Daphnia pulex: one gene and its partner. The protein of the gene in region 2 interacts with the protein of the main gene of each other region in a pairwise test. Links are inferred from orthologs where the notes say so. Each region holds a gene or a part of one and is shown on either strand. Other genes may lie near its edges.

Region 1 (4,204 bases), on a different chromosome or scaffold from region 2:
GAATTTGAAATTTGTTTGGCTAGTAGACTAGTTGATATTAGCAATTAGCTATACGATATTTTAATTGGTTAGAAATGGTACATAATTTATATACGCACTTTAAATAATATAAAATCATTTTTGTATTCAAACATTTTTTAGTATTACATTATTGTAAGTTTGTAACTCAATTAAACTGCCAATATTTTGCCTTTCAATTTTCCTGTGTTTCGGAAATGGTAGTTCACAAATATTAAACGATTTTAGGTATGATATTTTCGAAACACTACTTTATGCATTATACACCGGTTTCTATACTCACAAATTGAACAAACACACCGACTGGTAAATTCTGTATTGATTTAGTCAACTGCATGCTGAAATAGTATGCGCATTTCAATTTTGTCAATTAACGATCCATGTTACTGGTTTACTCTCTTCACTCGAAGCTATGTCGAAGTGAAAAGTTTTGTAGTTGTCAATGCTGTAGTATATACGTTGAGTAAAAAAAGGCCTAAATAAATTTGCGACTTCTAATGACTATCTGTTGCAATTTGTCGTGATCTATCATTACTTGTCCTGCTATGAACTTAGGTAATAAAATAATTATTTCATGAATACGGTGGGTCTAAACTTCGGTGGGCAGGAACCAAATGCATGATTTTTATTTTTTTTATGAGATTACACTCATCAAGAGATTTCATGTCTCAATTGTCATTGTCTTAATGTCAAGATAAAATCAACGAACACTGATGGTCAGTTGCTCTCTAATCCTTCGCAAGGACCGCCCTTTTTTTCAAAATTGTCAGCCTACTTAGGATTGAGCTTGTCAAATAGTAGTGGCCGGTCAGGGTTTTACGAGAAAAGCGCACACGTTGGAAAGTGATTTGTGTGCTCAGTTTACTCCGTTTATCTAGTGACACAGCAAAATTTAATACGAGTTACTATTGTGCCTTCAGTAAACGTTTATTTAAAATTTTCCAAAGAACTATTAGGTCGTTCCGTCAGTTTTAGAGTTGGTTGTTAGCAGCTGCACCCAGATGCCCTACAATTACGAGTACACGAAAGGCCCATGAAAACAGCGTATAATATTCTATGTATTTAAGTCAACTGTACTTTTCTATCCACGGTAGGAGCGTCCGTTAATGATTCGAAATTGATTACCGCCTGGCAACAAGAGTGACGATACGTTATTGTGAAAGCGAGAAAAGTGGTTTTCTCAACAAACCAATTTTCATACGAAAAAAGTAAAGCTGATAAATTTTCCAACTTTCGAGTCATCTAGCGATAAATAAATAAACGAATTCCGAGGTTTTCTCTCGACCACACAAATATACTGTGCTGCTGGCCTCGCCCACTCCGCCCTGTCCCTACGGGCTTCTCACCAATAATATATACAACCGGGCCTTTACTTTTCCTAACCTACATGTTTGTGTATACACTGTGAAGCTGGAATCAACAGGCAGCAGCAGCAGCAGTTTGAGCCTCGTGAGATTTTCTAGTGTGAACTATTCCGCGTTTGCGCCGTTTTTTCACGAACTGTATCATTTTTTTGAAAACTTGTTTTTCGGCGGTTGTGACCTTAAAACTCTTGCGTCCTTATCAGCGATTCGAGTTCGACTTGTTAAAAACAAATTCTACGTTGTTGTGGTGTGCGGGGACTGTGCGCAGTTGAATCAAAACGACCTGAGCGATCGTGATGTTTGGTGACTAAAAGGGTGTGTCGAATTGTGTCACATTAACCATTGTTATTAAGTCTGCGGTGCTTTTTTTTTAGTGTCAGATTTGTTTCCGTGCATTTCGACATGAGGCGATGACGTCAAAGCCGTGCTCACCTTCCACATAGAACCAGAGGGAAAAGGGAGAGCCGAGTGTTTTTTGGGGAAGTTGGAAAACAAAACTGCCCTCAAGCAAAAGAGAAATTATCATTTTCTCTTTCGCGTTATAGTGACATGGCCATCAATTGACGTGCGAGTTTGCTCAACACAAAAAAAAACTTTTAAAATCGGCGTTTCGCTTTGGTGCCACTGTTTTGGACCAACGGCGAACGTGACCCTGCAAATAAGTAGTGAGAATCTCATGTCGCATGACGGTGAAATGTTTGTTCAACGAAACTTTCGTCATTCAATTCTGGTAGCCGTTCTTGCCTTCGCCGGCTTAGGTACGTATATGTTATTACGAGATTTGGTTGTACATATTATTCGTTGGATGTTGTTTCAACATCAGGGCGGTTGGCTGCCTGTTGGGATTTGATATCAATGTGTCGACGGGATGTGGGACTACCACACCACTAAACTTGCACCGATAAAACCTGAGGCGTCTTCTAGCACTGATAAGACGACTGTGTGCAACTGATCTAGCAACAATATACATATGCGCAGATTGTTTGTCTGTTGTCTAAATTATTTAATATATCTCGGATGGAAATTAGAACTCTTGTTTTAACTGTTTTAATCTTTTCGATCGGTTTATTCTCCAATGATGAACTTGTTACCAACTGATTTCGATAACAATTGATTTTTTCCATCATTTTTAGTTGTGTCAGAGTTTCCGGCTCCTCGACTGCTCCCGCCTGGTGATGAACAGATCTATCAAAGTGGCGGCACTTTTCGACTGACGTGCGAAGCTCCCAGGCCTGTAGAATGGAAATTACCAGTCTTATCGGTGATTATTTGAATCTTGTTAGACCCTACTGTAGATATGTAGTGTTATAACTGAAATTGATATGTGTTTTTTAGCCTCATTTGGAAACGAGTTCCCATGACGGAACTAATGTCACCGAAGAAATTATCTCCCCAGCAACGGATGGTTATGAATATCGCTCTTCGTTAGAAATCAAAAGCGCATCAATCTTGAATACGGGATATTACATCTGTCATTACAAAGGAAATGCCAACATAGATGATCCGCTACTGGCGGTAAAAACTTACGTTTACGTTGAAGGTAGGGTATTCGTTATCTATGTTGTTGCTTGTATGTATAGCATGGCTGCATGGCCAAGTAAAATAGTAATAATAACTAAATAACAATGAAATGAATTGTAAAAGATGATTTAGGTCTTGAGGTTAATCTTGCTCTTACATGTTGATTATGAGTTTATTAACAACTTTTGTTCTTGGACAGATGAAACATTTTTGATTGTTAACGTTGGAGATGAGGGAATTGTCACCGTTGTAGCCCACCAGTCCAGCCGGGAAGTTATTCCATGCAAACCTACCAGTCCCAAGGTGGAACTAACACTTTTTGATCCCAATGGATTGGAGGTAACAATTCAGTTTAGTAATATCTATCGAATATGCTGTAGAAAAAGAAGGGGGTTATTTTCATCCGCGCTTTAATAATGATTGGCTGAAAGTCGGGTTAGATGCTTTGGTCCATTTAGTAGTGGTCGTAGTGATGGCTTGTATCATTCATCGCATAGTCTTGGGGCTGTTTGCTTGTCTTGTTATACATGTTTATACGTAGATTGTTCTGTTGTAAGTCTTGACTATGTCACCGTTCATCGTTTCCCAACAGATTAACCCACAGACAGATCCTGATTTATGGTCCTACAATCCGCACGAAGGATTCATCGTCAGTGAGGTGGCGGTGGATATGTCCGGCATGTATCAATGCACAGCTGTGTACAGGCGAAACGGAGCCAGTTTTCCCTCGCATGAAACGATTACTTACGTTGTATCGGTTCAACGTATGTTGCTCAATTCATTATTTATATTTTTCATTTATATCTATCTATCTCTCTATGTGTGTAATCACACCTTGGTGATTGGCTTATTTCACGCTTGTTGCTTCTCGGCTTTTTGAAGGGGCTTTCATAATTTAATAGTTTGGAACGGATGCATGGTGATAAATAGATTGCAAGATTTAAGCAGCAGACTAACGTTCACCGATAAGGCTTGATCGTTCTAAACATTTTTTAAAATATTTTAACTGTTCATGGGTAGTACTAATTAGAGATATTTATGTTACACTGCTATATGAGTTGAGAATTTGATTATGTATTCGTCAATACGAACCCGGAAGAGGAATTCTATATTACATGTGTGTGTGGGATGTGTGGGGTGATGTGTTACAGGTCGAGCTGGAAGACAGCCAATGGTCCTACGACCCACACGAGGGCTTTACCATCAATAACCCTTCGTTGGTGCACGATCACGGCTACTACGAATGCCTGGCTAGGACCAACAACAATAAGAACCAAACAGTCTCCTACTTCCTAATAGTT
Region 2 (4,027 bases):
TGATTTTGAAGGAGCTGGGCAGCCGCTACTCGCTGGATGTTGGGCAAATACCAGATGGGATGACTTCGGATGAGCCTTTCGAGTAGTGGAATATCAGACGAGTCGACCACATCCTCGCCGCAGGGTGGTGAGATGCCGGGCAAATCGGGGCAGGAAGTCGTGTGACTGCTGTTGCTGCTGCTGCCCTCGACTGTCGGTCGGTCTGTTAATTCGGCCGTGGTTGACGAATCCGGCGATCCGCCAACCAGTTCTTGACTTCCACGTAACGTTGGGCTGGTACTCAAATCACTCAGGATGGAATCCAGATCCGAAGCGAAGCTGTTCAACATCTGCAATTGAGAAAAAAAGAAATAAAATCAGAATTTAGTTGGGAATTAAACGGTTTTCCAGGTCAAGGCCATGACGGTATGACTCATCAGAGTCTCTCTCTCTTTTCCCCCCACACGCAATTCTCAACATCCGGCGGAAATCACGATGATGTTAATGACATTTCATTCGGTACAACAGTGACATCGATTTTTTGGGCGTTGTCTGATGGGATGGCCGAGTTTCGTATCATCATTACCCCAAATCAATTAACCCCGGGGTAGTAAAAAAAAGGGTGTTGGCTGGATCGATCCGCTGATGAAAACAAAAGTCGGCCATTTTTATCGGAAATTTAATAAAAAGAAAAACGGAGGAGGAATGCCAACCCAACCACCAGAGAATTTAGAAAATAACATTCCATTTTCTCCTACTTTTTATTGTAGTCTGTTAAAAAATTTTATCTCCGAAAGGAATTTAACTGCGCTCAAGATTTCTAAATAGAAACGCGCGTTTCAATTCTAAAAATACAAAAAGAAGAAGAAAATCCATCGACGAGATTCGAATCGAATTGTGTGAAGAGATGAAAGTGGAGGGTCATATCACATAACAACACAAAGTTGAATAGAAAAAGATATAGTACACACAAGAGATGGAGAGTATGCCCAAAAATGGACAAGGGCGGGCCCCCGGTAAAAGATGGGGAAAGAAAAAAAAGAAGAAAAACATATCAACATGTTTATTCAGTATGATCGTTTAGCCGCCGGCGGGGCATAGATATATAAATTTCCCAGCTAGAGAGAGAGGCTCGTTTCAAGAGTGTGTACGAGCACCAACAACTAAAAAAACGCAAAAGGCAAGGCCACAAGATATCAATAAAGAGATTCCTCTTCTTTTTTAAAATAAAATAAGAAAAGGGGACCCGCTGGCTCGAACCCAAAAGGGGAAACTTGTAAACGGAATTCTCAGTAGGGCGAAAAAGCGGATGAGGTTACCACCAACTCAGGTATCTCTCAACCGGAAGAGGATATGATTTAGTACAAAATAACTGAAATTTCCGGAGGGGAAGAAAAGCTCCGCCGGATTAGTTCAATTGGCACTTTTAAGTAAAAGTATTTCGACATGTCATTTTGTTGGAAAATAAAAAAAAGACAAAGAGCGTGCGAAATGTGTACCAGCGGTCGAGACAACGGGCGACACAACAATGGAGCAGCCAATTGCATCCGGCTGCTGCTGGAGCTGCTCCTTTCTAAAAAGGGGGGGGGGGGATGGAAGGTATTTTTTGACGGGCGACCTCCACGCACAATAACACACACGCGGGAGTGCTCGCGTGTTGTTTTGTCGACGTGGTTTCGAGAAAGTTGTAAGAAACGGGGGAACTGAAGAAGAAATAATGAACAAGAAGAAGAAGAGTGGAAACAGTTTGGCCTGAGGCTGCGGAAATGACGGGATGGAAAGAAACCTTCTCTTTCGTCGAAAATTCCCCCCCTTATACTTCATTAGAGATGGAATTTCATCTCCCGACGAGTGTGTGTGTGTGACTCAATCACGATTAGCAGAGAAGAAAAAACCCATCCGGTTTCACATTTGACGCCACTACAACTGGGTTTCACGTGTGTGTGTCTCTCCACAATTCCGGAGGGTCGAAAAACTGTGTAGGAAGGGGGGGAGTCTGCAGACGAAAATAAGTCTGTGGGTGTGTGGGCCTAATAACTATATGAGCCCCGACTAAGATTCCAGTGCCAAAACGGCGAACTTTGTCTAGAAAAAGAATAAAATTTGATGGTAATAATGAAATTACCAGCATGTAGGAAGAAGATGAGCGAGGAGCAGGTGACGGAGTTGTTCCATCATCTGCCGATTTCATCGGACTAGCAACAACAACTGGATGAGGAGGAGATGAATTTTGTGCAACAGCAGCGAAATGCGACGCGACGAAACCAACCGGACTGCTGGATGCACATGACATAGTCCACACACGGCCGTGTTTGGCTTTCTCTTAGCTCTCTGTAACCAACTCTTTTTCCTCTGTTGGTCTCAATCGTACACACACACACCAACAATTCTCCCCTTCTTCTTCTTGCTAATGGTGGAGCACACAAATATCTCTCCCCTCCAGTCTGCCAACACACAAAACGATGATTTCGATTCTTGTTGTTTTAGATATCCATCGGTTGTGCAAATGTGTGTCGATTGGGGAATGCAAAACAACACACACACAGAGAGAGAAACGTGTAGGCCCCTGAGCCAACAAACGGCGTGGGGGAAATTCAACACGAGTTTTTAATTCGACGACTGAGCACGACTTGAGTTCATCGCTGACTGGCTCGCGGCACAGCACACAGGAAATATCTCATACGCTACTCTACGATCTACCCAAAGGGGGGAACGACGAAATTATCAAAAAAGGGCATGACAGATGTTTCGTCTGCTATCGTGCAGCCACCTAGCGGAGGAAAATAGAAACTCGAGAGAGTTTTCTGTGAGACAACATGAACAAATGATGGAAAAATTGATAAAAACAATGGCGAAATAAACCTGGGTCGTAAATATCGCACGGTCGTAAAGAATGATTAAACAATGGTGTAAAAGATAACACCCCCAAAAAAAGCTCGTGATTATACGTGTGGAAGAAATCGGTGAGCTAGGTGTAACTGGAGCGTGAAAATGGTGAGCTCGATCGCCGTTCTGATTGGAGCGTGTGGGTACCAACTCGTGCTAAATTCAACTGAATAAATGAATCGCTCGTCCAATGTTGTGAGTCGTGATCGTTTTCTTTGTGTCAGCCGTTGGTTGTTTCGTTTTCTCTCACCTGTCTCTCATTCTCATCGGTCATCCACGAACCCTTTTCTCCACACTCAAACAGGTGCAGCAACAACAACAACAATCTCTCGTATTCTTTCACTCACGTGTTTTTTTTTCTCTATCGAGTCCATATCATTCCAGCGGCTATCTATAAAAAGCCGTGTTTTCGTGAATGAAACAAGATTTATCTTCCTGCATGACCGCCATCTTCTTTTTGATTCACATCTGATTTCATTCTGTTCCAGTTCCGGGTTTAGAAATTCAGAACCATGAATCACCTGATGGACGAACGATCAGCTGGAAACCAAGTCACGACTTCTTTTTTTAGACTCAAACATCTTTTTTTTTGTGGAAATGATCAAGTCAAATTTTGTCCAACACGAAGAAGAAAAAACAACAATTCCTTTTCTTGTATTTCAGTGATAAATCCATAAATCAATTTTTGTTTTTTTCAATCTATAGTACAACATTCTATGTATATGGAACAAGGGGTTGGTATAGTGTAGTGAATCGGTAGTGAACTTCTTTTTCTTCTTCTTTCTCCAGACCACCCGAGTCCCGCGGTCCGATTGAAAACAATTCGGTATCGCTCGATCAACAACACAAAATGAAACAAAAACATTTTCGATTCGTTTCTGGATGTGAAATGAATCGACACCACACTCGGCATTAAGAAATTTAGAAGGGAGAAAAATAGAAAACGAGAGAGAGAAACATAATTTCGTCTGTATAGATGCAATTTGAAGGGAAAGATTGTTTTAAAGAGAGAGAAATAACATTTTTTCTTTCGTAATAGTTATAACAACTGGTCATCATCATCGGTTTGCCAGGAGCACTAGGTCACGTGACAGCATCTTATACCCTGTAGGTAATCGAAGAAAAAAGGAGGAGAAAGATAAGAAAGGAGAATGCACGATAG

What was found. The genes of interacting proteins can lie anywhere in the genome.
Region 1: the proteins of protein sprint-like (region 2) and vascular endothelial growth factor receptor 1-like interact in a two-hybrid assay, tested with the Drosophila melanogaster proteins (2 studies listed by BioGRID). The link is inferred for Daphnia pulex from reciprocal best matches to the Drosophila melanogaster genes spri and Pvr.

The regions. Positions count from the first base shown.
Region 1 is NC_060028.1:2,875,314-2,879,517, reverse strand, and holds the start of vascular endothelial growth factor receptor 1-like, read left to right. Parts: upstream 1-1,403; 5' UTR 1,404-2,058; coding exon 2,059-2,140; intron 2,141-2,515; coding exon 2,516-2,643; intron 2,644-2,717; coding exon 2,718-2,922; intron 2,923-3,099; exon of another isoform or gene 3,100-3,102; coding exon 3,103-3,242; intron 3,243-3,495; coding exon 3,496-3,667; intron 3,668-4,054; coding exon of another isoform or gene 4,055-4,204.
Region 2 is NC_060023.1:10,103,534-10,107,560, forward strand, and holds the start of protein sprint-like, read right to left. Parts: upstream 2,802-4,027; 5' UTR 2,273-2,801; coding exon 2,105-2,272; intron 330-2,104; coding exon 1-329. UniProt on the Drosophila melanogaster protein: Potential Ras effector protein. May function as a guanine nucleotide exchange (GEF), by exchanging bound GDP for free GTP.